Linked DNA regions of Sus scrofa. The protein of the gene in region 2 interacts with the protein of the main gene of each other region in a pairwise test. Links are inferred from orthologs where the notes say so. Each region holds a gene or a part of one and is shown on either strand. Other genes may lie near its edges.

Region 1 (9,881 bases), on a different chromosome or scaffold from region 2:
CCTCTGGGCCCTGCTCACGCAGCTCCCCCAGCTGGGACGTCCTCCTCCACTCCTTCCCTAGGATCCAGCGCCTCCTCTGGAAGCCCCCCCGGGCCTCCTGGGAGAGGATGCCACGTCTGCTCTGCGTTCCTGCAGCCCCTCTGCACAGGGGCTTCCCTTTTCTTTTACAACTTCCATCACTGTGTTCTCAAGACTGGCTGCATGGGACCAACCAGCTCTGACCAACACAAGAAGTGGCTGGAGGGGGCGGGGCGGGGAGGTGCCGGGAACTCAGCCAGGAGGCTGATGCAGAGTCAGGTGCCCGCCTGGACTATGATGGGGCAGTGGAGATGGAGACACAGGGAGAAAGTTTTGGACTTGCTGAAGAATAAACAAGGGGTGGGAGCTCCCGCTGTGGTACAACGGGATCAGCAGCGTCTTGGGAACGCTGGGACGCGGGTTTGATCCCCCCAGCCCAGCACAGTGGGTTAAAGATCTGGCATTGCCATAGCGTCGGCTTGCGTGGAGACTGCGGCTCAGGCCAGGGATGCTCTGTATGCCGTGGGGTGGCCAAAAATGAAAAAAAAGAAAACAAAACAAAGAAGAGGGGAGGGAAAAGTCAAGGTAGTCTCTGGTTTGAGGACCTGGAGGCCTTTGCCTAAATGAGCTGAACCTGGGAACTCAGCTGAGAAAAGGGGCTCTGGGTCCTGGCTGTCTTCAGAATTCTCCTCTGTTAGAGTTCCCTCATGGCGTAGTGGTTAAGGAATTTGACTAGGAACCATGAGGTTGCAGGTTCGATCCCTGGCCTCACTCAGTGGGTTAAGGATCCAGCATTGCCGTGAGCTGTGGTGTAGGTCACAGATGCAGCTTGGATCCCCATTTGCTGTGGCCCTGGAGTAGGCCGCAGCTACAGCTCCAATTAGACCCCTAGCCTGGGAACCTGCATATGCCGCGGGTGCAGCCCTAGGGGAAAAAAAAAAAAAAAAAGATTTCTCCTCTGTTAAATAGGATTTTAAAAAAAGAAAATAAAAGGGATAATCATATCAACCCTAAATTATGAATATTAAATGAAAGAAGTTAACACATGGTCATTCTCAACAAATGGTAGCCATTATTAATTATGTGCTTCTTTTTTTTTTTTGGTCTTTTTAGGGCCATGCCTGTGGCATATGGAGGTTCCCAGGCTAGGGGTTGAATCAGAGCTGCAGCTGCTGGCCTATGCCACAACTTAGGACAATGCCTTAACCACTGAGGAAGGCTGGGGATCGAACCTGCATCCTCATAGACACTATGTCAAGTTCTTCACTCACTGAGCCACAACAGAAACTCCCTGATTAGGCCCATGTTATTTAATTAATTAGTTATTAATTATTTCATTGATTGCTTTTTAAGGCTGCACCCTCGGCACATGGAGGCTCCCAGGCAAGGGGTCAAATCAGAACTGTAGCTGCTGGCCTACACCGCAGTCATAGCAACGCCACATCTGAGCCATGTCTGCAACCTACACTACAGCTCACAGCAACACTGGATCCTTTACCCCACTCAGCAAGGCCAGGGATCAAACCTGCGTTCTCACGGATCCCAGTTGTGTCTGTTACCGCTGATCGAGGACATGAACTCCAAGCCCATTTTAAAGATGAGGAAATCAAGGCTCAGGGAGAACTGAGAGCATAAACAATGGAAGGGCAGGATTCTGTCCGCTTTGTTCCTTGTTTCTCCAAAGCCCCTCAGGGTGCCTGGCACACAGTAGGTGCTCACCACATAATAGCTGACTCACCGAGGGAACTATCTGGCTGCTACTCTACTTCCTTTTCCCTGAAGCAGGGTGGGGTCCCTGAAGGCACACAGCTCCAGGGAATCTCCCAAAGTCCCACTCCCTCCACCTGAAGCTGGCTCTGGCCCACCCCTCCTACCTTCATCCCCCTCTCCCAGCTGCTCGGCAATCTTAGAGTAGTCGGAGCCGCCCACCACGCCGATCTGCACCCTACTGCGCAGCTTCTGCAGGAAGGCAGCCACCTCAGGGTCAATTTTCTGCAGGGGGACAGGAAAGCACGAGATTCTGACTGTCAGCCTGTCTGGGCCCTCCACTTAGATCTCACTCAGGGTTCAGAATCCTGGGAGCCCACATTCCACCTACATCTGAGGCAGTTCAAGGTTTAGAACCCAGATCTCAAAACTAGATGCACTTGGGTTCAAAAGCAGGCTCAAGTCCTTTAGGAGCAGGATGTCTTAAGCAAATGGCTTTGCCTTTCTTCCTGTCTGTCTGTCTGTCTTTTTAGGGCTGCACCCATAGCATATGGCAGTTCCCAGGCTAGGGGTCTAACTGGGGAGCTGCAGCTGCCAGACTACACCGCAGCCACAGCAACACCAGATCCAAGTTGCCTCTGTGACCTACACCACAGCTCTCGGCAACACCGGATCCTTAACCCACTGAGTGAGGCCAGGGATCGAACCTACATCCTCATGGATACCAGTCAGATTCGTTTCCGCTGAGCCACGATGGAAACTCCGGCTTTGCCTTTTTTTTGCCTTAGTTGTCCCACCTCTAAAATGGGGATCATAGTAGCAACTGCCTGGAGGTGGTCACTGTGAAGGCTTAAATGAGGTGGTGTTTGGAAATGAATAAGCAATTGACTAGTGACTCATCACTTGAAAAGATTCCCTGTCAAGGAAATGTGTAAACTAATGAGTTGTAAGCCGTGTTTCCAAACATTCAGTTATTCAAAGCTGACAACATCTAGAGCGGACAGAGCACAAACACTCTCAAGTTGCTGGTGAGATGGTAAACTGGTACAGCTACTTTGGAGGGTAATTTGGCAGGATCTATTAAAACTTAAAATGCAAGTACCCCGTCTATGGAATTGTGCAGGTGCATTATGGATGTTCACTGGGTAGGGTTTATAACAGGAAGAAAACTGCAGACAAATAAGCTAGTCAGTTAGAGAATGGCACACACTTGCACTGAAATTCTATACTGCAGCCACAACAGAATAAGGCAGGACTGTGCTTCCAACACGGAAGAGCCCCAAGACACGCTGTTTATTGTCAAAAGCAAGCTGCAGAAAGACACACACAGTATGATACCACTTATTAAAAACAATCAAACGCACTTTGAAAACCTCACAACTTTGGGGATGAGGCTGGGCTTGGGATCCTGACTAATCAGGGGACTTCAGCCTTCTCTGTTCTGTTTTCATTCTTTACAAGAGAACGTGTTCACGAGTACGTGTACAATTAAAAATTAACTTTTAAAAAGTGCTAAGGCCAGATCCAGCAGTGCCACTGTTCTTGTTCAGGCTGTCAGGTTAGTGGAGCTAAGGGTCAGAGGGAGGGGTGGACACTGTTCCTCAGCCCTGCTACCCTCGCTCCACTGTCTTCTTCCTTGCATCCCTGAGGACTCAGGGAGCTGCTGGAAGGTGAGGTGGCCTGATTCCTCTTGCTGGCCCAGGGCCCTCACAAAGGGGAGGGGAGACTAAGACCTGGCTGCCCATCAGCCTCTGCCAGGCAACCCACCTCTACTGGCTCCCTGCTCTAGGAGACTCCTCAGGAGGTCCTGATGGACCCAGATTGGAGGGCAAGAAAGAGCCTGCTCATCCATGAACCCACCTGGTGAGGGCGGGTCTGGGGGCTCATCCTGGGTGAGACCCGAAGGGAGAAAAACTGAGTGTGGAGCAGAGGTTGGAGCATCAACCTGGTGAGATGCTTTTAGAAGGGAAACTGCACTCCCGCCCACCCGGTACCACAAGATTCCCATGGTGACCAGACGAGCCCCTCCCTCCAAGTGGGCGAAGCCCCAAAACTCTGCCTAAATGGTACAGAAGCCCTCCTTCCCTCCAAGAGGAGGGGGATGGGCCTGGGAGGGAGGGAAAGTAGAGGAGGGGCTTGAGAAACCAGACGCGGCCCAAGTCTGCAAAGGTCGGTGGGCTGGCTCGGAGACACTCCCCCACCCCCGGCCCCCGCCCGATTGGGACTCCAACGCTTGGGAGCACTGAGCCCCTGTATGGAACCCTAGGTTCAGAAGCCAGCATCGGGCTACTGGTGCCTCTTTGGGCTGGAACTGGGGTGGGAGTCACTGCTGGGGAGGTGGGAGCGTGGAGCCAGGCCTGGCGGCGGAGGGACCAGGTCCCCGCTCACTTCCTCCCTCCAGAATCCGACCCACCCCCCCTCGCTCTCAGGCAGAACGAGGGCACGGACGCTCGGGGCCTGTGACGTGGGGAACCGGGTTCCCATCACTCCCAGAGGGCGGCCCTGGGGTGTCAGGGGCCGGGTGTGTTCCGGCATCTCACACACAGTCCCGGGGGATCTGGGGTCACGCTGCTGGAGGCCACACATTCGGCCTCCAGGTGTCCGCGTGACACTCCCAACAGGAGCTTCTGAACGTCGAGGCCCTACCTGGCGAGCCGGCGTGAGGGTACCGTCCACGTCAAACAGGCAGAGGACGCGCTCCTTCCTACGGGCGCCCTCAGCGGTGACCGCCATGGTTGCAGCTCAGCTCACGGAGCTGAGTCGAAGGATGCGGCCGCCGGAGCCGCGTGGGGAAGACGCTAGACAGGGCGGGGCCTGGGAGGGGCGGGGCCATCCGGACGGCGCCCAGAGAAGAGGGGGAGGGGCCAGGGCACGTTCTCCCGGGGTACCGGGCAGGGGTGGGGCCTGAGCTCACTCGGGAGGTTAATTCTGATGGTACCAGGCGGAGAAGGGGCGTAGCATAGGGCGGAGCAAAGCCCGGCAGGGTCCTTCGGATTTTTGCAAACCAGATGGAGGCTGGGCCTGGGCCCGGGTCTGACTTGGGTCCGGCGGGAAGTGAGGGAAAGAACCCGGAAGGGAGGGGCGGGGCCAGGGCTGGCCCTTGGCGGGGTGATTCTGATTGCAACTGGCCGAGGAGGGGCTGGACTAGGGCGGAGCCTCGAGCGGCAGTGCAGAGTCCGGGGTGGGAGTGGGGAGATCCGGGGGAGTGTGTGTGTGTAGGGGGGGGCCACCCTCCCACAACTCTCCCCGCTGCCAGTCAATCTAGGACTCGCCCGGTCACTAATGCCTTTGACCTACAAATCATGAGCTTAAAGAAATCCGCTGATGGCCTTTGCTCAGCCTCTGGGGTTTGCCAGATGACCTTCTCCGACCCTTACTCCTGCTGTCATTCTGTCCACTCCATAAAGCACAGCTAATGGTTTACCTGGACTCCTCTCTATTCACAACTATTTAACCATCACCTTGACTTTGGAGTCAGTTCTAAATAGTCTTCCCAGCTTCACCAACCACGTGAGTTTGGACAAGTCCCTTCACCTCTCTAAGACTTCTTTACCTGTTTCCCTCTGTAAAATGGGAAAAACACCACCTACTTTGTAGGGTTGCTTTGCACTTCAAAAGAAGTAATAGAAGTTCCCATTGTGGCTCAGCTGGTTTCAAAGAGACCAGTATCCAAAAGCAGGCGGGTTCCACCCTTGGCCTCGCTCCATGGATTAAGGATCTGGCGGTTGCCATGAGCTGTGGTGTAGGTCGCAGAGGCGACTTGGATCCCAAGTTGCTGTGGCTGTGGCCTAGTCCGGCAGTTGCAGCTCCTATTCAATCCCCAGTCTAGGAACTTCCATTTGCCACAGATGTGGTGCTAAAAAGAAAAAAAAGAAAAAGAAAAGAAAGAAAAGATCCCACAGAGCAGGCCCTCTCCAAAGAATGTGTATAAATGTGCTTGATACTGTTACTGATTAAACAGCTATTGCATGTCCACTCTTAAAAATGTGCAGACCCTGGAGTTCCTGTCGTGGTTCAGAGGTTAACAAACCCGACTAGTATCCGTGAGGACTCAGGTTTGACCGCTGACCTCGCTCACTGGGTTAAGGATCCGGCATTGCCTTGAGCTGTGGCATAGGTCGCAGATGCAGCTCATATCCCGCGGAGCTGTGGCTGTGGTCTAGGTCAGCAGCTGTAGCTCTGATTTGACCCCTAGCCTGGGAACCTCCATATGCCAGTGGGTGCGGCCCTAAAAAACAAACAAACAAACAAAAAATGTGCAGACCCTTTGAGCCAGCAATTCAGCTTTTAGAAAATAAGAAAAGGATGGAGTCCCCTGGTGGCTCAGTAGGTTAAGGATTCGGTGTTGTCACTGCTGTGGCTCTGGTCACTGGCCTGGGAGCTTCAGCATGCAAGGCCAAAAAAAAAAAGAAAAAGAAAAAAAGAAAAAAAATTGGGGATCAGTTAAATTATGATCCATCAGTAAGATGAATTGCTGTGAGGACTTGGAAATCTGTGTTGTTAGGAGTTCCCGTTGCGGCTCATAGGTAACAAACCCAACTAGTATCCATGAAGACACAGGTTCAATTCCTGGCCTTGTTCAGTGGGTTAAGGATCCAGCATTGCCACGAACTTTGGTGTAGTTCACAGATTTGGCTAGGATCTGGCATTGCTGTGGCTGTGGCATAGGCCAGCGGCTACAGCTCCAATTTGACCCCTGACCTGGGAATTTCCATATGCCACAGGTGCGGCTCTAAAAAGCAGAAAAAAGGAAAGCAAAAAAAAAAACACCTATGTTGTAGAATATTTAACATGGAAAAAGCATAATCCTGGAGTGTCCCTAAAAAGCAACAACAACAAAAAAATTTTTTTACTTAAAAAAAAAAAGATCATAATCCTACTTTTCTTTTTTTTTCTTTTCTTTCTTTCTTTCTTTTTTTTTTTTTTTTTGCCTCTTCTAGGGCTGCTCCCACGGCATAAGGAGGTTCCCAGGCTAGGGGTTGAATCGGAACTACAGCTGCCAACCTGCACCACAGCCACAGCAACGCAGGATCCGAGCCGCGTCTGCGACCTACACCACAGCTCATGGCAACACCGGATCCTCGACCCACTGAGCAAGGCCAGGAATTGAACCCGCAACCTCATGGTTCCTAGTTGGATTCATTAACCACTGCGCCATGATGGGAACTCCAATCCTACTTTTCTAATGGAAAAAATAGCAGGCTCTCCCTGGATGTTGGTATTATGCTGCATTTGCTATAGCTTTCTCCCCTCAAAGATTGTCTGTTTCTTCTACCAGAAGCCAGAGACAAAGGCCCACCTCTACTTCCCTCTCTACTCCCAGGGGTTGCCCTCCAGTTTGCCAGTGTGCCTGGGTAAGCAGGCATTTTTGCCACATCCACCATCCTTACCCTGATGCCTCTGATCAACTCTGGCCGTTCTGATCCTACAGAGACACATACATCCACGTACCTATGAGTGAGTGGCAATGTTGTGCATCATGCTTTTTGGTTGGCTTGTTTGTTTTTCCATCTCAGTTGCCATGGTACCCTGGGAGATCACTGGAGGCAGAATGGAGGACAGTTATGTCCCTGATAACTACGGACTTGGACAGGTTGCCTTCCTTTGCATCTTCATTTATATAAAAGATTGAATCCCTATCTAGTAAGACTATGAGATCATTGTGGAACGTGAATGTTGCCTGGCATTCCAGTTCTAGAAGAATGGCACCATCTACCCCTGCAGCCCACCCCCATGGTGGGCCCTGAGGGAAATTCAGGATAGAGAAAAACAGGAAATATTCTATGCATTGGAGATTGGCAGAGTTTTTGTTTGTTTGTTTGTTTTTTGCTTTTCAGGGCCGCATTGGCGGCATATGGAGGTTCCCAGGCTAGGGGTTGAATCAGAGCTACAGCTGCCAACCTGTACCACAGCCACAGCAACGCAGGATCCAAGCTGCGTCTGTGACCTACACCACAGCTTACAACAATATGGGATCCATAGCCCACGAGCAAGGCCAGGGATTGAACCTGCAACCTCAGGGTTCCTAGACGGATTCGTTTTGCAGCGCCACAACAGGAACTCCTAAGATGCATTTTTAAGGAACAATTTCAATGAGCCCAGACTCTTGCATCTTCCCATATACAGAAAAGCACTAAAATAATTAACTCGAGATATCTGTTTTTGTGTGACTCATGTTGTTGAAACCCAGCCTTCATGCACTGATGCAAAACTGGATCTTGGAGACAGGCTTTTGGGTGAAGTAGGAAAGAAGAGCTTTATTGCTTTGCCAGGCAAAGCAGGCACAGCAGGTTCATGCCTTCAAAATCGGTGTGTCCCAACCTGAGAGGATTTGTGAGGAGTTTTATAGCAAGGGGTCAAGGGCAGCATTGCTGATAAGGATCAGGTATCCTTTAATCTGGCCTAAAAGTTATCAAACTGTAAACCGTCTCTCTGGAAGGAAGAATGCTTCATCAAGTAGTTAAAGTCTTCTGATTTGTTGGGGGTTTTAGCTCTGCAGAAGAGCTTAGAAATATTGTTATGTGGGAGTTCCCGTCGTGGCACAGAGGTTAACGAATCTGACTGGGACCTATGAGGTTGGGGGTTTGATCCCTGCCCTTGCTCAGTGGGTTAAGGATCCGGCGTTGCCCTGAGCTGTGGTGTAGGTTGCAGACTCGGCTCGGATCCCACGTTGTTGTGGCTCTGGCGCAGGCTGGCAGCTACAGCTCCGATTCAACCCCTAGCCTGGGAACCTCCATATGCCGCGGGAGCGGCCCAAGAAATAGCAAAAAGACAAAAAAAAAAAAAAAAAAAGAAAGAAATATTGTTATGTGGATCTGTGTCCAGGAGCCCCATGGGGTTCTTCTTGGTTTCATCAACAATAATCTTTTGCTGTTTTTTTCCAGCAAAAAACCTTTCATATGCTGGTTTCTCCCTCACCTCTTCAGAGCAGTTTCTCAGAGCTATTTGAGATATTGTTTACCCAGCTAGAGTCCTCAGAAAGATCCTCAAATAAAACTGAACTTTCCGTTTTTAGGTTGGGCATTTTTTTTTCACTTGACATTGTCATACCTGGTATTTGTTGATCCCTTACCACGTGCCGGCCACCACACTGGACACCTGACCACATACCTTCATCCACTCTGGCAGCATCTCTAGGAGGTGTTCTTGTCTCTTCACGGTGAAGAAAAAGGAAAGAGATGTGCTTAAGGCTGCACGGAGCACCTGACAGGCCAGCAGGGCTGAGATCAGGGGGACTCAGTTACTTGCTGTAGGCACAAATTTTAAGAGGGCCCCTAAAACCTCGGTAACAACAAATAGAATTTTAGTGTTTTCCATAGCATGTGGAAGTTCCCTGGCCTGGGATCTAACCTGAGCCATAGCAGCGACCTGAGCCACTGCAGTGACAACACAGGATCCTTAACCCACTCAATTGCCAGGGAAATCCAATAAAATATATATATATATATTTTATTTTAGGGCCATACCCACGGCATATGGAAGTTCCCTGTCTAGGGGTCCAATCGGAGCTGCAGCTGCTGACCTGCACCACAGTCACAGCAACATGGGATCCAAGCAGTGTCTGTAACCTACACCGCAGCTCAAGGCAACGCCAGATCCTTAACCAATGAGCGAGGCCAGGGATCAAACCTGAATGTCATGGATGAGAGTCAGATTCATTTCCGCTGGGTCCCAATGGAAACTCCTCCAAAATATATTTTTTAAAGATCAAAATTAGTGAAAAAAAAATCTATGGACAAAGTATCCAAAAAAATTTTAGGGAGTTCCCATTGTGGCTCAGCAGGTTAAAAACTGGACAGGGCTGGAGTTCCTGTCATGGCTCAGTAGTTAACAAATCCGACTAGGAACGATGAGGTTGTGGGTTTGATCCCTGGCCTCGATCAGTGGGTTAAGGATCCGGTGTTGCCATGAGCTGTGGTGTAGGTCGCAGACGCGGCTCGGATCCCAAGTTGCTGTTGCTGTGGCTGTGGCATGGGCTGGTGGCTACAGCTCTGATTAGATCCCTAATCTGGGGTTCCCATTGTGGCTCAGCAGTAACAAACCCAGTCGGTATCCATGAGGAAGCGGGTTCAATCCCTGGCCTTGCTCAGTGGGTCAAGGATCCGGTGTTGCCATGAGCTGTGGTGTAGGTCACAGACGAGGCTCAGTACCTGGCA
Region 2 (9,739 bases):
GCATGCTGCAGGCACAGCCAAAGAACATTGTGTTTTTAAAAAAATTTAAATAAATAAAAACAAAAAAATTGAACAGGAAAGCACTCTAAGTACTAATGAGAAAAGATCTCTAGAATATATTAAGTGAAAAGAAGTGAGGCACACAATAAATCTGATTATCTCTTATGTAAGGAAGAATAAAAATTATATTCACATTCGCTTGTGTCTACATAAAGAAATCCCAGAAACACACGTAAGAAAATATATGTATTTATAATTTCTGAGGGAGAAGGGGGTGGGGAATGAGGTCACAGAAACAGGGGTGGCAGTAAGTTTTCTCAAAGTATATCTTTTCTCTTTTTTGCTTTTTAGGGCCACACCCACGGTATATGGAGGATCCCAGGCTAGGGGTCGAATTAGAGTTTCAGCTGCCGGCCTACACCATAGCCACAGCAACACTAGAGCTGAGCCACATCTGTGACCTACACCACAGCTCATGGCAACACTGGATCCTTAACCCACTAAGTGAGGCCAGGGATCGAACCCACAACCTCATGGTTCCTAGTCAGATTTGTTTCTTCTGAGCCACAAAGGGAACACCCCTCAAAGTGTATCTTTTATACAATTTTGATTTGTGAGATATGCGATATATTAACTGTTAAAAACAAGAGTTAGAGCGGGGGGAAATGGTCCAGTTTAAAGCCCTAAGAGAAATGGATTAGGTGAATTCTTAAAGTTTCCTCCATCTTTAGTATACTCCAATTCAAGAATTTCAACTAGGAGTTCCCATGTGGCTCAGCATGTTAAGTATCTGGCATTGTCATTAGAGTAGCTCAGGTCACTGCTGTAGCACAGGTTTGATCCCTGGCCCAGGAATTTCCTCATGCTGTGGCAAAGCCAAAAAAAAAAATTTTTTTTTTTTCAGTTAAAAGATGCTCAAACTATTGGTCAGTCGTATTTATAATGTGCCTTCCCTGAAACTCCATGCTCCCAGTCACTTCTTTGTAAGTATTTTTTTTGGGGGTTTTTTGGGGGAGCAGGGGGCACCCACGGCACATGAAGGTTCCCAGGCTAGGGGACGATTCAGGACCTGTAGCCGCCGGCCTACGCCACAGCAACACCAGATCTGAGCCACATCTGTGACCTACACCACAGCTCACAGCAACACTCGATCCTTAACCCACTGAGCAAGGCCAGGGATTGAACCTGCATCCTAATAGATAGTAGTCAGATTTGTTTCTACTGAGCCACAATGGGAATTCCACTTCTTTGTAACTTTCAACTCTACTTAAAGCAGCTGCACTCATCACACTACAGTGTGTTAAGTATTACATATTTCTTTCCTGATGAGATATTTCTTAAGAGTAGGCGCTACCAAACCACTTGACAGTAGCAGTTTTCAGTAAACATTTGTTAAAATATTTACTAAGAACTCCCCATGTGCCAGACATTCTTCTAAATGTTTTACATTTATTAGGTAATTTAATCTTTACAATAACTCTATATGATAGGTCCTATTACTTTACAGTTAAGGAAGTTAAAACAAGGAGGTCAATAATTTGCCCAAGGTCAGTGATCAGGGCTAAATCATGAAATCCAGACTCTGCTCTTAATCACTAGCTCTACTGATTAATTTTAAGGTTTCAAAACTAGGTTGGAAAAAATTTCCTTTGTTCTAAATGCAATACAAAGCTACAAGATACAGATGGCTTAATATCATCTAGAACCTAGCAGTTCTCAAAATGTGGTTGAATGACTCCCAGGATTCCCAGGGCCCTTTGGCTGGGCCCACTACCCTCCTGAAGGTCAAAACCATTTTCATAATATCAAGATGATACTTGACTTTTTTTATTTTCATCCTCTCATGAGTATATAGCAGAGTTTCCCAGAGCCTATGTGATGTGTGATATTACAAGAGATTTAATGCAGAAGCAGCTATGGCCAGATGTCTTCTAATACATCAGAACTAACAGAGATTTGCAAATATGTAAAACAATGCCACTCTCACTAAATCTGTTTGAAAAATAGTTTTCTTTCATTAAAAATGATTCTGTTAACATATAATAGATCTAACACTATTATTTTTAAATGAATTAAACTTTCTCAGTTAACTTTTGACACAGTAAATAATGATACAAACCACATAAACAACTCTTTAGAAGCCTCATCAGTTTATAAGAGCGTAACAGGATCCTGAGGGGAAAAAAAAGTTTAGGATTACTGATCCAGACAATATAAACTGTTCAGTATTCCTGGTATCTGACATTACGACACTTTTTTCCTACATACCATGTTTTAATTCAATTATATATATAATATATATAAAAATATAATTATAATACAGGACTGATGTAAAAAAAGGTAATATAAAGTGAAAAAAATAAGCAGCACTAGGCCTAAATATGTGCTTCTCTTTGGGATTATATTTCTTAATTTGTAACTCATAACATTTGTTTATAGAAATATCTTCTGCTGTAAACCATGAATGACATTCCTAAAAATGCCTCTGATTTCAAGACAATACCCAAAAATAGCAACCAAAGAGGTTCCTCAAAGAAACTTCAGATTCAAGTTGTATATTCCAACACTCTTTTATTAAACCATGTATACTGCTAAAATATAAACCATAAGAATTTATAGGAAGATTACTAAGACTGATATCATTAATTTAATGAGGCCTCAAATACTGAAATAATTCATCTTCATTCATCAAAGAATGTTAAATTTTTGAAAAACTAAATTAAACAGTCTACCTAACTTCAAATCTGTTCCATGAACATGGCTTTAATTGACATACTTTTAGGTGCTATACCAGTAACAAATAATTTAACAATAGTTTTAACAAACCTAATTTTGTTCAACTCAAAAAAAGGTATAAAATTCTAGTCAGTCTTTTTTTTTTTTTTTTTAGTGACATGGTAAAGGCTATAAATTATTGGGTTCCCTGTGCCCTGGGCATCTGGAGTATCCCTGTATACAGTCAAATAAAGTAGGTATAAAATGTTATTGTTATATTATTAATTGCACAAGAAAAAAAAAAAAAAAAAAACATAGACTTCACCAGAGCAAAGATGACTACTAGCTTTGGTTACTATTAGATTCAACCATCATTCATTCTGAGTACAGCTCCAAGCTTGGCACTATCCTAGGCACCAGGGATACAATGAACAAAAAAATAATAGTTTTTAAATCACATGGGATTTGCATTCTGCTGTGCGAAGTAGGCAAAAACACACACACACACAAAAAAAAAAAACACAAAAAAATAAGAATTATAAATGTGGTAAATGCTATTAAGAAGACAAAGCTTTGCCACAGATTGGTCTTGAAAGCTGAATTGTGGAATTCCAAAACCTAAAAATAAAAAATTCATGAAGAGTTACATCTAGATGACATGGATTCTACAGACCTTTGCTAATGCATAAGAACACTACAGACACTGCCTGTGAAAAGAGATCAATCTTTCATTGTCGAAGCTACTGGATGACATTACTTAGCAATATAGCAGCCTCAAAGATAATTAACCTCACAGTTCCACCGAGTTAAAAAGCATGCAAACACAATTTTAAAAAAACTTAGAGGAGCTTAAGGAGAAAGACAACCATAAAGTAATGTGGTATCCTGAACTGAATGTTGGAACAGAAACAGATAAAAATGAAGAAAATCTGAATAAATTAGAGACTTTACTTAATAATGCATCAATATTGGTCCATTAATTGTAACAAATGTGCCATACTAATGAAAGATGTTAATAATAAGGGAAATTGGGTGGGACTCTATGTGAACTCTCTGCATTATCTTAATTTTTATGTAAATCTAAAACTGTTCTAACAAAATTGAGTTTACTTTTAAAAAAATCTAAGATGGCTTCAGGAATTGGCAGGAAGGGGATTTAGTAAAGACTTAAAGAAGTTAAGAAATGAGAAGCTATAAAACTCTGCAATGAGAATTAGAAGTAAATACCCAAGAAATTCAAAGGAAACCTGCAGATACTTAAGTTATGACTATTCATACTAAAATTTTCCTAGGATGGAGATTTTTCATGCAAACTAAATATCTCTGCATCACAACATCAGGCAGGCAAAAACATCCCTAGAGTGCACAATAAGCACTTATCCTATCAATAATGACCAATAGCTATATTTTATGAATGGCACTGCCCTAAAATTGTTATAATACCTGGACAAGGATCAACCTCACAGGTCTCAAGTTACTTAAAGAAACAAATTCAGAAAAAATAAACAAAGAGGAAACTTGGTAAGACAACAAGGAGAAAAAAATTATGTATGAAAGGAGAAAAATGATTTCTCAGGTCTAATTGGAAGCAATTTTGCAACTATTATTAACCTACTTTAATGTCACACAAATTAGTGTAAATAGTTCAAAGTAGTAACAAAAGCCTTGAATTAACATCAGTTATCTTCTTCCCAATCAAAAGAAATAAATGTCTTCTATAGCCTAACCTAAAACACCTAACAGATAACAATGTCTAATGACTTCGTAAGAACTAATCTCTCACTGTCTCAATTTTAAAGACAGCCAGGAAAAGTGAGAGAAAAACAATGAAGGGTGATCACCTCTAAACTGCAGAGTATGAAGTGTGTATAACACAGCATAAAATTGGAATTACCACAAGAAGTAATTTTAGAGACAGCAGCCATCACAAAATAAGGACCTTTATCTAACACAAAGTAAGGACCTTTATCTAACACAAAGTACAATGACGGCAGAAGCATGGTCAGGTAAACAAATGATTTTACTCATCAGATACAGTGGAATATTAACCATAAAAGAAGCATTTCGCCAAAATGGTATCATGTATTTATCTAACTTAGATAACCAGATGAAAAACCCATCTCTTCTCTCTCTCTTACTCCCTGACCCCAAAGGAAATCCTACAAAACAAAGATGTTCGTTATCCTAAAGCCTTCTCTCACAGGAATCCTCAATCTATCATTGGAAAATACTCAAAAAGAAATGGAATAATTAGCATTTCCCCAGTAATTCCTGTTTGCTCCACTGTGAGGAGAATCAGACCCCGCTTCGTGTTAAAACAGAAAAAGGAGAGGTGAGATGTGAAAAATTCCAAGTAAAACGATCATGACATAGCACCTGGCAGAGACTGGAAAAGCATCCACGCGGCCAAAAGGATCGTCAAGGATGAAAGTCAGGAGAAGAAAACGAGGTTTTCCAACAAGCCGCAGCCTAGCCCATCGGGTAAAAATCGCCACTGCCGCCGCCCCTCCCTCACTCCCCCACCACTCCATCCTCAAGTCGCCTCCAAGGCCGACGTGGACCCTCTGGAACCCAGGCCAACCCCCCACCCAGGTGAAAACAATCCAAGAATTTTCTAGGACTCCCCACTTTCCACCTTCCAGAAGATCTGCACTTCTCAGGGCCAAGCCTCTGGGGAAAACAACGCCCAGATCCCCCCTCCCGGCGCGAGGTTCCAAAGAGCCGGGTCCCGCCGGTGGGCCTCGCAGGGCTGACCGACCGGGATCAGAGCGAGGAACAAGGGTGGGGCTCAAGGAAGGGAGCGGGAGCTGGCGAGACGACGGAGACCGGAGGAAGAAAGGGATGGACAGGAGGCTGGGCGGGGTGAGGACTGGGGAGGGCACGTCGACAGGGGAGGGCCGGGCTGCGGGGAGAGGAGCCGGCGGAGTCGGGGCCAGAAGGGGCAAAATCCGCCCGACGGATCGCGGCGAGGAAGCACGGGGGGCGACGAGGGGGCGGCCGACGCGGGGCCGGGGCAGGGGGCGGAGGGCGAACGCGAGGGCCGCAGCAGCCTCCGCGGCCGAAGGGCCGCACTGGGGGCGGTGCGGGGAAGCCGCGGCCAGCTGCCAGGAGTGGGGGAGCCGCGCACTCACCGCTCTGCTCCCCCAGGAACACCAGCTTGAATTTCCTCAGCGGATTCCCGAAGTCTCCGCCCGCGGACATGATGGAGCCGGAGGAGCTGCGCCGCCTCAGCCCAAAGACCTCCCGGACCGACGCGGCTCCAAGCAGTGGACGGAGAGGCTAGAGAATGGGCGGGCGCCCAGCTCTCTCGGCCGCTGCAGGGCCCGGAGCGGAGCAAGACCGGAGGGCAGGGCCCCTCGACACAGACAGGCAGCCGTCGCCGCCGCCTCCCCTCAGAGCCGCCTAGCACCGAGCGAGGCCCGAGGCTGGGAAGGGAACGAAGGCGGTGTCGGAAGCAGCCAGGGGAGTGCTCAGGGGTCCGAAGGCCAGAGCGGCTCCCTTCTCAGCACCCGGCTCGGAGGCTGGGGTGAGGGCGGAGGAGCCGGAGCCGCAGACGCGCCTGGGACCTCTCACACGCAGCGCTTCAGCGCCTCAGCTGCCGCCGCCGCAGCCCAACCTGCTGAGTGCGCGAGCCTGTGGCGCGGCGCGGGGCGAGCCCGGGCACGAGCCTGCCGCCCCGCCAGCCCCAGCGTGCGTGCGTGCGTGCGTGCGCGTGCGCGCCACAGACGGCGTCTTCCTGGTTTAGCCTGCTTTCCCGGCTCCGCGGCAGCGGAGACCGGGGGTGGTTAGGTGTACGCTCGCGTCGGGAGAAGCGGGGAGGTGGGGTGGAGCCTGGAGGAACCCAAAGGGTGGAGTAAGGAGCGCTTTCGTCACTTATACGATGAGCCAATCGGAAGAGGTCAAGGGCGGGCAAGGATGGGAATGAGGTGGCGGCGCGAGAGCGCGCTCGCTGCCCTCGAGCGGTGGAAAGTGTCTCACAGTGGCGGCCATGTGTAGTGTGGCGCGTCCGAGCCTGAGGGGAGGAGAACAGAGAGAAGCGGGGTGGAGGCGGGGCCGGCGTGGAGGTGGAATTGACCCCTACAAGAGCGGATGAAGTCAGAGAGTACTAAGGTGTTTAGAAGGTTCCTAGTTCTGAGCCTTTAGCCCTGCCTCAGATTCCTGCGAGCCCCACTTCACCTATGCCCCCACCTTCTCCAACCTCTTCTTATAATTCCTGCCATGATACCCTCCTAGGTACATTCTCCACTCCTGCTCCCAGGAGTTTCATAACTACCAGAAGCAGGGCCTCCACGTTTTTACAGATGAGGAAACTGAAGCTCGTAGGAAGGAAATGACTTACAAAACCCACAGAACAGTAAAATTGAAGCCAGGTTTTGTCTTTTTCCCCCATTGAACTTCTGCAACCTGCTAGTTGATAAGACCATCCTTGGCCTGATGTGGCTTGGCCTTCTGTTAGCAACCTCTCTTCCTCAGATGGGCCAGCCCAGGTGAGCCCACCTTCTACTGTGATCGAAAAGGATTTAGATATCATGTAAACATAGGGTAAAACTGAGGCTCAGGTAGGAAAACAAGTTTGCAAAAAGGTCACACAACAAATTCGTGGTAGAGCATGCCCCTGATGAAGTGGGCTTTTTTTTTTTTTAACAGCCACACCTGTGGCGTATGGAAGTTCCTGGGCTAGGGGTCGAATTGGAGCTGTAAATTCAGGCCCATGCCACAGCTTCAGCCACACCAGATCCTAGTTGCTTCTGAGATCTACCCTGGAGGTTTCCACTTTGTAGGATCCGTAACCCATTGAGCAAGGCCAGAGATCAAACCCGAATCCTCACAGAGGCAAGGCAGGGTACTTAACCCACTAAGTCACAGCAGGAATTCCTGAAGTAGATATTGTATTTATTTATTGGGGTTTTTTTTGTTTTTTGTTTTTGTTTTTGTTTTTTTTGGCTTTTTAGCGCCATACCCGTGGCATGTGGAGGTTACCAGGCTAAGGATCAAATCAAGAGCTACAGCAGCTGGCCTGCGCCACAGCCACAGCAACACGGGATCCAAGTTGAGTCTGCAGCCTACACCACAGCTCATGCCAACGTCAGATACTTACCCCACTGAGTGAGGCCAGGGATTGAACCCAAGTCCTCATGGGTACTAGTCAGGTTTGTTACTGTTGAGCCACAGTGAGAACTCCCTCCTGAAGTGGACATTTTAAAGATCACCCAGTCCTCCTAAAGGATTCAAATCCCTTTTGAATCTGCTATTGGTGGAACTACCTTAAATTACACGTCTACAATATGTGTATTTTTCTGTGGACAGAATCCATACTTTTCATCAGATTTTTCAACCCAGTTCATGACCCCAAGAATGAAGGTTAATGTCACACTCAAGAGGAGCCCACAAAGACATGACAGTTAAGTGTAATATGGATATAACTATCATGATAATTAAACTTTTAAGTTTTAACCTGAATTGGATTCGGGAACAGAAAAAGGACATTTGGCAAAGACTAAGGAAATCTGAATATAGATTTTAGTTGTGATATATCAATATTGCTTCATTAATTGTAACAAATGTATCATGCTAATATAAGATACTAATAATAGGAGCGAAACCAATTAGAAACTATGAGGTTGCGGGTTCGATCCCTGGCCTCACTCAGTGGGTTAAGGATCCAGCATTGCTGTGAGCTGTGGGGTGGGTCACAGACTCAGTTCGGATCCCACGTTGGTGTGACTGTGGTGTAGGCCAGCAGCTACAGCTCCGATTGGACCCCTAGCCTGGGAATCTCCATGTGCCGCAGGTGCAGCCCTAAAAAGACAAAAAGACAACAACAACAAAAGATACTAATAATAGAAGAAACTGGGCTGAGGAGAGGTTTATGGAGATTTTCTCTACCATCTGCTCAATTTTTCTGTTAATATAAAACTCAAAAAAATTTATTAAAAAATATAAATGTTAAAAATTATCAAATTAGGAGTTCCCGTCGTGGCGCAGTGGTTAACGAATCCGACTAGGAACCATGAGGTTGAGGGTTCGGTCCCTGCCCTTGCTCAGTGGGTTAACGATCCGGCGTTGCCGAGAGCTGTGGTGTAGGTTGCAGACGCGGCTCGGATCCTGCGTTGCTGTGGCTCTGGCGTAGGCCGGTGGCTACAGCTCCGATTCAACCCCTAGCCTGGGAACCTCCATATGCCGCGGGAGCGGCCCAAAGAAATAGCAACAACAACAACAACAAAAAGACAAAAGACCAAAAAAAAAAAAAAATTATCAAATTAGAGACTTCAGCATCCACACCTTACCATACTTCAGCCACAACTAACCATAATATGGGACAGCATTTGAAAAAGCAATACTTATCTTTGAAAAGGACACTTTCTTTTTTTTTTTTTTCTGGTCTTTTTGCCATTTCTAGGGCCGCTCCCGTGGCATATGGAGGTTCCCAGGCCAGGGATCTAATCGGAGGTGTAGCTGCCAGCCTACGCCAGAGCCACAGCAACGCAGGATCCAAGCCACGTCTGCAGCCTACACCACAGCTCAAGGCAACTCGGGATCCTTAACCCACTGAGCAAGGCCAGGGAACGAACCCACAACCTCATGGTTCCTAGTGGGATTTGTTAACCCCTGAGCCACAATGGGAACCCCTGAGCCACAATAACTCCACTTTTAAACACTGGTATTAAAAATACTTCCAAGTTGAAAAGGGAACCCTCCTACACTGTTGGCGGGAATGTAAATTGCTACAATCACTGTGGAAAAGAGTATGGAGATTCTTCAGAAAACTAAATATAGAACCACCACATGATCCAGCAATCCCACCCCTGGCCATATATCTGGACAAAACTATAATTCGAAAAGATACATGTAGTTCCCATTGTGGTTGGTTCAGCAGGTTGAGGACCCGACATAGTATCCATGAGGATGGGGGTTCAATCCCTGGCCTCTCTCAGTGGGTTAAGGAACCAACATTGCAGCAACCTGCAGCACAGTTTACAGATGTGGCTTGGATCCAGAGTTGCCATGGCCATAGTGTAGACCT
Region 3 (10,073 bases), on a different chromosome or scaffold from region 2:
TGGTTCTGGTTACTGCTCTGGCAAAGATTTGATCCCTGGCCTGGCAACTTCTGCATGCCAAGGGTATGGAAAAAAAAGAAACCAAATCTTTCTTTACCTTTGACATGTGCAGTGGCCCTTTTACCAGTGTATAGATGTAGAGAAGCGGGTCTGATTAAAGGGTAGCTGCCCCAAACTCACAAGGGTAAGTTCCTCCTTCACAGAAAGGGGTCAGGGTCCCTGAAGTGGGAAGGCCCAGCAGAAGCCTGTGTCTACCTGGCCCTGGCTCTCTCTGAGGCAGCTACTCAGACCCGGGGCCTCAGCCACCATGTGCCCATGTGCACTAGGTACACCAGCCTGATCCTCAGGACAGAGGCACTCCTCCACGGCCACACAGGTCCAAAGGGCCCAGGCTGGGTCCAGTTGCTCCCCTAGAACCAGAGAGGGACAACAACGGCTCTGGTCAGAACAGGAAGCGCCTCCTTGCCTATCCAGGCAGCGCCACACTCATGCCTGGCCTCCCTCATGCACCAGTTGTGGAAAGGCAGCTCTTTCACAGCGCCCAGGCCACACATCCGAAGCCACACCCAAGAACACTGATGTACACAGCTGCTTGCTCCTCTGCTCCAAGTTCTAGGGTGGTCCAGATGAGCATAATCCTTACAGGATTTAGCCAAATGAGGACTTTTCCTGCCCTAAAGCAAACACTTGATGAGACTGGGCCTTGCACAGAGGCCTCCTCCTCCACAAGTGCCTGCCCTCTTGGGGAAGAATGCCTAGGCTCACAGCCTTGAGTGGAACACAACTTCTCTGTGCCTCAGTTTCCCCAGAAACAGACATAACAAAGTGGTGACCCTAAGGGCTGGTGGGAGGACTGCAGGAGTTGGTGGGGCATGGGGAGTCTAGGGCAGGAGCAGCTCCCCCACAGGGGTGAGGCCTGAGGGGCCCTCCTCAACAACCCCCGCCCCCCGCCACTGCCCCATGAGCTAGCTCCTGGCAGTGACTTCTACAAAGGTATGGACAGGAATCTGGTGTCCAACAGCCACTTACAGCTCGGTCTGAGCTACAGGACCTTCCTCAGTCACTTACACCCATCCTGACCTTGGCTGCCCCATCCTCTGAGAGAGGAGACTACAAGAGGGACGGGAATGAGGGAGGGAAGAAGACAGAGCAGCTGCTCCCCCCAGCTCTGCCACAGTTCTTCAGGAGGCTGCTGAGCCTACACATGGGAGGGACATCCGGAGGTTGGGAGCTGGCTTAGGTAAGTCCAGAGGTGGCGACCAGAGGAGGCTTTGAAAAGCGTCCAGTCCTTTAAGGGCAGGCGGGGCTTTCAAGATCCAAGACTGGCAGGGTGAGGACAGTAAAAGCAACCAGGACAAGGGGGAACAGGCTGAGCCAGGCCAGAGGCCCCAGGCAGCAGCTCAGGCCACCCTCTGGGAGACACAGTGGGGCCACGCCAAACCTCAAAAGAACAATGAACAGAGACAAGGTGACTACAGAGACAGCAGGGAGGGGATCCAGGCCTGGGTGAGATGGAGGGAAGGAGCTGATGACACCAGCTAGCAGAAACTTATTGAGTAAGCACTTACTATATATCCTGGGCACCAGTTCCAGCCTGTGACAGGCTGCAGCTCACCAAATTCCACCTGCACTGATAAGACCCCAAAGCGGCAGAGAAGAGAGCAAGGGCATCCATACCTCATCTTCCTTCTCTCTCTGGGAGCTGAGCAAGGGTGGGGCTGAGACTGCACCAGGACCCCAGCCACTGGCCTGGGGCATGCTCTCCAGCCCTCACATTCCCAACCTACAAGAACCACCCACTCATGGTACCTGCCCAACCCCCCCCTCCCAAGGCAGGAACTGTCAGCCCAGCACACCTGCCTTCTTGAAACTGCAGCTGAGGACACAGGGTAAGATATTCCACTGCTACTTAGGAAACACCATACGGCGCAAAATCTGTCCAATTCTCTTCCCCACCATGCTGGGAAGGGGGTATAGAAGAACTTGGGGCAGATGGGGACATTATTAAGCCAGAATGAGTCACCAGCAAAATGGTTAGACAAAATGGGCCAGTGGGTCCCTGCACACACCCTGGTTTCAGCAGGACACACACACTCACCAAGTGAGAAAGACCGCAGGGCCAGCACCACTGCCCACTGGCTCACGGAATCCTCCTCAGGTCTGGTCACAAACCCAATGACCTGGGACTGGCCAGTCAGCTTCCCCGCTTCAAAGTCAGTATTATCCACAAATGCTAGGCAGGGATGTAGGCGCCTCCACTTGCAGGATAATTTTTAGTAACTGAACCCAGTACAGTTGAAGAAATAAAGTTTTAAAAGAATGAAGATGGCTCATCTCTCTACAGAAAAATAATTTTAAAAAAAGACATTGGGGAGTTCCCGCTGTGGCGCAGTGGTTAACGAATCCGACTAGGAACCATAAGGTTGCGGGTTTGATCCCTGGCCTTGCTCAGTGGGTTAAAGATCAGGCGTTACCGTGAGCTGTGGTGTAGGTCGAAGACGTGGCTCAGATCCTGTGTTGCTATGGGTGTGGCATGGGCTGGTGGCCCCAGCTCCGATTAGACCCCTATCCTGGGAACCTCCATATGCTGCAGGAGCGGCCCAAGAAATGGCAAAAAGACAAAAAAAAAATTAAAAATAAAATAAAAAAATAAAAAAGATATTGGTTAAATCTTGATTTTTCAAATAAGAAACAATACTTTCAAGAATAATATTAGAAAAAATTAGAGAGGTTGACAAGGGTTTGAGTAAACTGGTACAAGCTTTCCTTAAACATCTACCAAGACTGTGATGCACCTTCCTGTAGCTTCTGCTGGGATTTCCAGCTGAACGGTTCTTATCCTACCTGCCACAGAGGAAACCAAAGTTCAGGAAAGTGGGATGTGTCCAAGGCCATGTAGCCAGTGTGTGAGGGAGCCAGGAGGTAACATCAAAAGAAGCAAGCAGACACCTGAAGAACACCTGTGCAAACTGATACAGTGTCTTCCCAATCCCCCTGGGGACCCACCCTCCAGACACACCCTACAAAACTGAGTCAAGATTCTTGCACCAGCCAAATGTGTGTAACAGTAAAGAGCTGACAACTGAAAGATTCCTAAGCAGGAGTAGCTAGCTCTGTGTGCAATCTTCCCTTCTGGTCTATTCTTACAGGGGATACCAAGTCAAGCTTGTGAACACAGAAGAGGACTGTGCATGCTGCCTGTGGGGGCTTGCTATGCACTCTGGGGGTGGAGGTGGGGGGGGGCTGGGTTCACCAAGGAGCTGCAGAGGGGGTGAGCCTAGGGTGCTCCCACTCCATAGTCTCAAGATCCCCTCAGCCCCCCTTCTTGGGCGCATTCCCCTACTTCACACACCAAGATGAGGCCCCTGCTGGAGAGGCCAAATGTCGCCCCTCTTGAAGATCTCAGAGGAGGCACCAATATAGGACCTGGGGTCCATGAGCTCCCTCACCCCCACTCCCATACCACATCAGTCTTCTACGGGTACTAACCGGGCACCTGTTCGAACAGGCATAGATTTAAATACCTTCATGAATTAATTCCCCTGCTATCAGAAGGGGACCAACTGGTCTCCCTCATGAAGCATGGAGGCTCAGAACAGTCCAGGCACCTGCCTAGAGCCACTGGAGTGGGGTGCTGGGAAGTGGGCAGCTAGGGAAGCAGCAAGCATGGTGGATCCTGAGGCCAAGGGGCCAAGGGTCCCTCTGGAAAAGGGAATTGTCAAGTGGGGCAGGGGCAGGCTCTCACAGAAACTGACAGGCTAGATGCCTGACACCTTGCCCGGACTTTTCAAATATCCCTCAGACCAACCCCTTCTGGGTGGGATGCTACAGAGCAAGACACTAAGGCCCCTGCTCACAGCCACACCTCCAGGAAGGGAAAAGGTTTCGGTCCAAACCTAGGTGTTTCACTCAGAAAGCAACTTCTTCCTCCCCACCTCCACAACAAGGCTGGGGAGTCAGGGAGGACTGGGAGAGAAAAGGATGTTTAAATCACCCATGAGAATTACTTTGTGGGAAGGCTGCCTAGCTCTCTGGCTGCAAGATTCTCTGGCCACCTTGGGATCCACCTTGCAGATCTCCCAAGTGTATATCGCACAGGAGACACAAGGCTCTATCAATGACAAGCATCCACAGACCTGTCACCCAATTGCAAGGAAGGGCCTGAGAAGGCAGCCAGGACAGGAAGTGGACAAAGGAAGCACTGTATCCCAGAGAAGTAACTAGTGGGGAGGTCAGAGAGAGCTGAGCACGGGGAGGGACAGTGGGGTAGTCCAGGCAGTGGCCACATGCAAAGCAAGCCCCCGACTTGGCCCTGGTATGGCCTCACAGCGTTCACGGAAGACTGTGAGACCGCTGAAGGCGGCTGAGTCCAGATGAAAGAAGTAATGTGCCTGTCCTTCCCCAGGCGGTCACCTGTGTCCATCCCATGCCCCCACCCAGAAAGCCAAATACCGCAAAGGACGCCACCCCACCGTGCCCAAGACCTGGCATCAGGAGCCTGTAGACAGGCTGGCCACACGGCCCCACAGCAGCCCTTGCCACAGAGACCAGAATTTCTACAGCGCGCACTGCCCACCACATCTGGGGCCCGCCCCCCACAGCAGCGCAGCCTCCGACCCAGGGCGCCCCAGTGCTGGCCTGAAAGGCCTGGGATATGAGGTCGGTTCGGGGGTCCGCCTGTCCCGGGGTCGAGGTCAGTTTGGCCTGGGTCGGAGGACAGCTCTGGGGTCGGCGCTGACGTCTGTCTGACCCGGGGGTGAGGAGTCCGGGTCGGGTGTGGGGATTGGCCGGGGTGGGGGCGCGGAGGGCGTGGCGGCGGCCGCCCTTCCTTACCTCCTTGAGCTGCTCCATCTCGCTGCGGATAGCCTCATAGTCCACCTCAAGCTCCTCAAACTGTAGTTTTAGCTGATGCTTCTCCTCAAGCACTGCCAGCCCGTACTCGGCCGCCTGGATCTTCTCACGCGTGGTTTCGGCCAGCTCGTGCGACAGCCGCTTCACCTCTGCGCGCAGCCACTCCGGCTGCGCCTCCATCACGAGCCGCGCGTACTCCTCCTCTTCGGACGACGCGGACATGGTGGCCACGGCCGGGGTCGTGCCACTCCCTCCGAGGCTCAAGCCCGGCTCCCGCCCGCCGCCCCTGGAACCGCCGCCGCCGCCACCCAGCCCGACGGCGCCCGGGCCACCGCCGCTGCCGCCGCCGCCGCCACCACCACGCAGCCGCAGTAAGCTCGCTGTCGCGCGGGGCACTGTGGGGACCACAGTCCCGCCCGCGGGAACTACAAGACCCGACGTGCTTCACGCGCAGTCTTCTCCCGCCCGTGATTGGCCTGCGCCCTGTCCCGGGCCGCCCCGTCCCATGCTGTCGCCTCCGCAGCCGCCGCGCGGGGCAATGTGGGGTACGTAGTCCCGCTCGCCCACCGACTACAAGACCCGTCGTACCCTACGACCGCCAGCCCTCGCCCGCGATTGGCCTGCGCAGCTGCCGTCGCAAGGCCGGAAACTGATATTTTTCCGGTGCCCCCAGCGGTACTTACGAGGCTAGGGTCGGCGGTGCGCTGGGTGGCCGGGGTGGCCGTGGACTGCGCTGAGCGGTGGGTGGGTGGAGCCGGGCACGGTGCTAACCGCCGTGAGTGGAACGCCCGGCGCGGCGGGGGCACCGCGGGCGGGGTGGCTGTGAGGACAGTAATCCGGTGGCTCAGACAGGCGAGGCCAGCCTAGCCCAGGACGTATTTAGTGGAAGATATGGTCAAACCGCTAGCAGTAGAGCCCACCTTCGCCTCAAATAAGTACGAAACGCCTCCTGCTTGTTTTCTAAGAATTAGGCATTTCCATGCGCCCTAGGATTATCCAGGTCACTGCAGTGGCCTCGAATCAGAGACGCGTGGCCAGCCAGCGTCGCGTCCCTGCCCTACCCTTGTAGCATGGGTTCTAGTTAAGTCCTTACTCTCGCTCAGGCTGGGAGACTTTCTCCCTCTTTGTCTCTTTGACCTTGATCTTTCTGAGGCATGCAAGCCATAAGTGTACACACCGATGCATCCCCATGGTTAGATTAGGTTATGCACTTTGGCAGGAGCATCAGGGTGCTAAATTCGCAGAATCCTGTCAGGAGGCAAGGGTATTCCTTTGTTATTACTATCCTATGAGAAGGCAGTTTAGATTTTGCAACTATCCCGTCACTCCTCAAGCTCTTGAAATTTTTATTGAGGTATTCTTGATTTATGATACATGAGTAAGGTGTACAACACAATGATTCACTATTTTTAAAGATTGTGCTCCATTTATAGTTATTATAAAATATTGATTATATTCCCTATGCTGTACAATATATCCTTTTAGCTTAAGTATTTTATAATTTGTACCTCTTAATCCCTTACTCTTATTTTGCCCCTCTCGCCTTTCCCTCTCCTCACTGATAACTACTAGTTTGTTCTCTTTATCTCTTTATCTACTATTAAAAGTGATAACATATACTATTTGTCTGACTTATTTAGTATGATACACTAGGTTCATCCATGTTGTTGCAAATGGCAAAATTCCATTTTATATATATACACCACATAATCTTTATTATCTGTTAATGGACATTTAGGTTTCTGTAACTTGGCTATTGTAAATAATGCTGCTATGAATATTGGGGTGCATGTATCTTTTCAAATTAGTATTTTCCTTGGATATATATCCAGGAGTGGAATTAATGGATCATATGATGGTTCAATTTTTAGTTTTTTGAGGAACCTTCATACTGTTTTCCACAGTGGCTGCACCAACTTAACATTCCTACCAACAGTGTACAAGGGTTCTCTTCTCCATGTCCTCACCAACTTGTTATTTGTGGCCTTTTGATGATGGCCATTCTAGATGTGTGAGGTGATATCTCATTGTGGTTTTGATTTGCATTTTTTTGATAACTAGCAATGTTGAACACCTTTAAATGGGCCTGTTAGCCATCCATATATCTTCCTTGGAGACCTTCTATTCAGGTCTCCAGCCTATTTTTTTAATCGGTGGTTTGTTTTTTCGATATTGAGTTGTATGAGTTCCTCAAACTTTCTACCAGTTTCCATTGATATTTCTTGCCTAAATGAATTACCATTATACTTTTTTTTCTGTTTTCATCATTCCTTCTGTACTTATTCCACTTCGTCGAAAGATATTTCATTCATTAGTGGTATGGATTTGTGGGTTCTTATTTTACCTAATGAGTTACAATCCATTACTCTCCTTATTCACTTAAATGTTCAAATATGGCACATGTGGCCAGTAGGAGCTCGTCCAGCTGGCTCTGTGTCCTTTCAACATGCCATGATTTTTGAGCATTTTCTGACTTTCTAGCAAAGTTGTTCCAGTATTGTCTTGTACTCTCTGTCCCAGACCTGGAATCAACCATTTCTCCAAGGAGCCCTGATTCCTTTCAGTGGTTTGATTTGTATGAGGAAAAACTGGCATAATTTTACTTGTGAAATTTAAAAAAATTCAGCAGGTTAAGGATCCGGTTTTGTCACTGAAGCAGCTTGGGTCACTGCTATGGCGTGGATTCCATCCCTGGCTTGGGAAGTTCTACATGCCCCAGGTATGGCCAAAAAAATTCAATAAAAATTTTAAATTAAAAAAAAATTGTAGGGCAATACTCCTACCCATAGTAGGAGTAGGATGTCCAGTCAGCCTGTCTGACCTGGCTTTTGCACAGAGAGCACCAAGTCCTAGGAGACCATCAGGCCTAGGTGCATCATTTAGTCTAAGTGGGTGAGATCATAGAGGAAAGCAGGGAGAAGGAACAAGCCTTGTTTGAGCAAGGTTAACGTGGGAGGAAGGAATGGTGAGAAGTGGTGGCCCCTTCTGACCCAAGCTGGCCAAACTCAAAACCCTGCCCCCTCCACACCTTCATGTGGGGTTGGCCTGAGGAGGGAGAGGGGGAAAAGGCTGTGGGAATCTGGTGCAGGCATTGACCGTGGAGCTTAAAATGGAAACAGAGTGATTGTGGAAGGGGACAAGCAGTGATTCTCCTAGGTGCTGGGGACAGAGGGCCTGTCACCAGAGGAGCCATGATGGGTGATAGTGTTGGGAGGACAGGCATCAGGACAGGGTTTAGGAGACCCAAAGAATGCATAGAAAGTGGCTGGTCAGGCTGCTGGTATAAGGGATTGGCAAGATAGGAAGCAGGGCCACTGCTTGTTAGGATCCAACTAGGCCTCCAATATTGCCAGTTACTTGACCTCCATCATCTCATTGAATCCTCCCAACACCCCAGGAGGTGGGAATTATGCTCTCTGATTTACAAAAGAGGAAACAGGCTCAGGACAAAATTCTTCCCACCACCTTGGACTTCTTACACCCCTCATTTGATCTGCCAATCTGTATGTAAATGACAGATCCAGCCTCAGCCTCCAGCCCTCCCAACTGTGGTTCCCTCTGTAGCTTGAACCTTATTGCCTTCTACCTGAACTATTTACTCACTTCCCCACTAGCCTTCCCCCAACCCCCTCACCCTATCTTTTCTCTCACAGCAGCAGAAGGCTCTTCAGACCCAAGGCAGGTCACATGCCCTTACTCAAAACCCTTTTGGTATTTTCAGGCTGTTAAAATAACACCACAATTGGGAGGCTTATAAGCAAGCCTTATTTCTCAAGGTACTAGAAGTCCAAGATCATGGTGCCAGCAGATTCAGCATCTAGTGAGAACCTCCAGTGAACCCGCTTCCTCTTCTCTCACATGGCAGGAGAGGTGAGGAGCTCTCTGGGGCCTCTTTATAAAGTCAATCATTTCCTCATGGGGACTCCAGCCTCATGACCTAATCACCCTCAAAGGACCCATTGTTCCTAACATCCTCACCTTGGGGGTTAGCATTTAACATGTAAATTGTGAGGGCACAAACCTTAAGATCACAGCCCCCTCCCAGAGGCACAGGCTGATTATCTCCCAGACCCTGCCCAGTCTCTGGAGTGGCCCTTCTGCCCTCCTGGCTTGCTCCCCTTCCTGGCTTTATCTTCCTCCATGGCATCCTATACATTAAAGTTACTCATTTTTGCACTTTTGTCTTACCTTGAATATCAGCTCCAGGAGGGACCATGCCTCAGAAGTCTCCTGACCGACACCAGGGGCTCAGGACACCAGTGGAGACCGCCCGTACTTACTATCCCCCACTCCCTGGACTCTACACCCCTCCCTGGGATGGACAATATGAGGGAATGGAGGCAGCTTTGGCAGACTGGGATGCCAGAGAACATCCATGGTGCCCCTCCCCAAGAACAACTGGGTGACCCTTGGCCTAGGGACAAAGGTAAGTGATGTTGTTATGACAGATACCCAGCAGCCCTGCGCTGCAGTGTATCAGCTCTGGCGACAGCCCCATGGCTATAGCGTACCAGCTCCAGCAGCTTTGCGGCTGCAGTGGATCAGCTCTTTTACCCGGCGAGAAACCAAGCGAGCACTCGGAGAGTTGGAGAACTCAGTTTTATTACACTGGCGGGCTCAGAGGAGATCACTCTCCAGAGTCTGAGCCTGGAAGAAGGGTTTCACAAGGCTTTTATGGGCTACGTCTTCCAGGTCCAAGCTTGACTAGTTGGACTGGAGTGACGTCAGGCAAGGTAGTAGATGCGGAAGCAGATGCATGGGGGAGGACTGGTTGGGGCAGTTGGCTAGACTTTGCTTAGTCATCACGGCTGGGGTCTCTCCTTTCTACATTTTATTGGGACATTTTCTCCTACAATGTCCTCTCAGAAACTCTGCCTTCATAAGTGAGGACTGCAGGTCCCCACTCCTCCCATTAGGGGTAAAAGGGCAAGATGTTCACACATACAAGTGTCCAGGCAGGGAACTGGCCTGGGTTTGGCTGCTTTGGTAGCCTTAATGCTCCCTTTTTTGCTATTTGCTTGGGAGCTCTGCATGCCCACATGAGCCCCTCCTCCTTCCAGTATCCTATCACCTCTCTGCCTGTGGCTATCTAGTTGTAGGCCAAGGAACAAAGCCATCTGCCTGCCTAGATGTACTTAGCTCAGCTGACAGCAGAGTAAAGGGCATGGCATCCCCCACATTTTCATCCTGTGTAATGTTGGATGAGTCTTTGACCCAAATGA

Evidence for each region.
Region 1: the proteins of RAB6A (region 2) and PMM1 interact in binary tests that used the Homo sapiens proteins (3 or more experiments, as listed by UniProt). The two-hybrid records come from large-scale screens. The link is inferred for Sus scrofa from reciprocal best matches to the Homo sapiens genes RAB6A and PMM1.
Region 3: the proteins of RAB6A (region 2) and BICD2 interact in binary tests that used the Homo sapiens proteins (3 or more experiments, as listed by UniProt). The link is inferred for Sus scrofa from reciprocal best matches to the Homo sapiens genes RAB6A and BICD2.

Annotation. Positions count from the first base shown.
Region 1 is NC_010447.5:6,959,908-6,969,788, reverse strand, and holds the start of PMM1 (phosphomannomutase 1), read right to left. Parts: upstream 4,791-9,881; 5' UTR 4,459-4,790; coding exon 4,372-4,458; intron 2,011-4,371; coding exon 1,893-2,010; intron 1-1,892. UniProt on the Homo sapiens protein: Involved in the synthesis of the GDP-mannose and dolichol-phosphate-mannose required for a number of critical mannosyl transfer reactions. In addition, may be responsible for the degradation of glucose-1,6-bisphosphate in ischemic brain.
Region 2 is NC_010451.4:8,192,673-8,202,411, forward strand, and holds the start of RAB6A (ras-related protein Rab-6A), read right to left. Parts: upstream 6,541-9,739; 5' UTR 5,917-6,540; coding exon 5,847-5,916; intron 5,551-5,846; exon of another isoform or gene 5,114-5,550; coding exon of another isoform or gene 5,092-5,113; intron 2,168-5,091; exon of another isoform or gene 2,148-2,167; coding exon of another isoform or gene 2,120-2,147; intron 1-2,119. UniProt on the Homo sapiens protein: The small GTPases Rab are key regulators of intracellular membrane trafficking, from the formation of transport vesicles to their fusion with membranes.
Region 3 is NC_010445.4:42,451,577-42,461,649, forward strand, and holds the start of BICD2 (protein bicaudal D homolog 2), read right to left. Parts: upstream 5,246-10,073; 5' UTR 5,074-5,245; coding exon 4,834-5,073; intron 1-4,833. UniProt on the Homo sapiens protein: Acts as an adapter protein linking the dynein motor complex to various cargos and converts dynein from a non-processive to a highly processive motor in the presence of dynactin.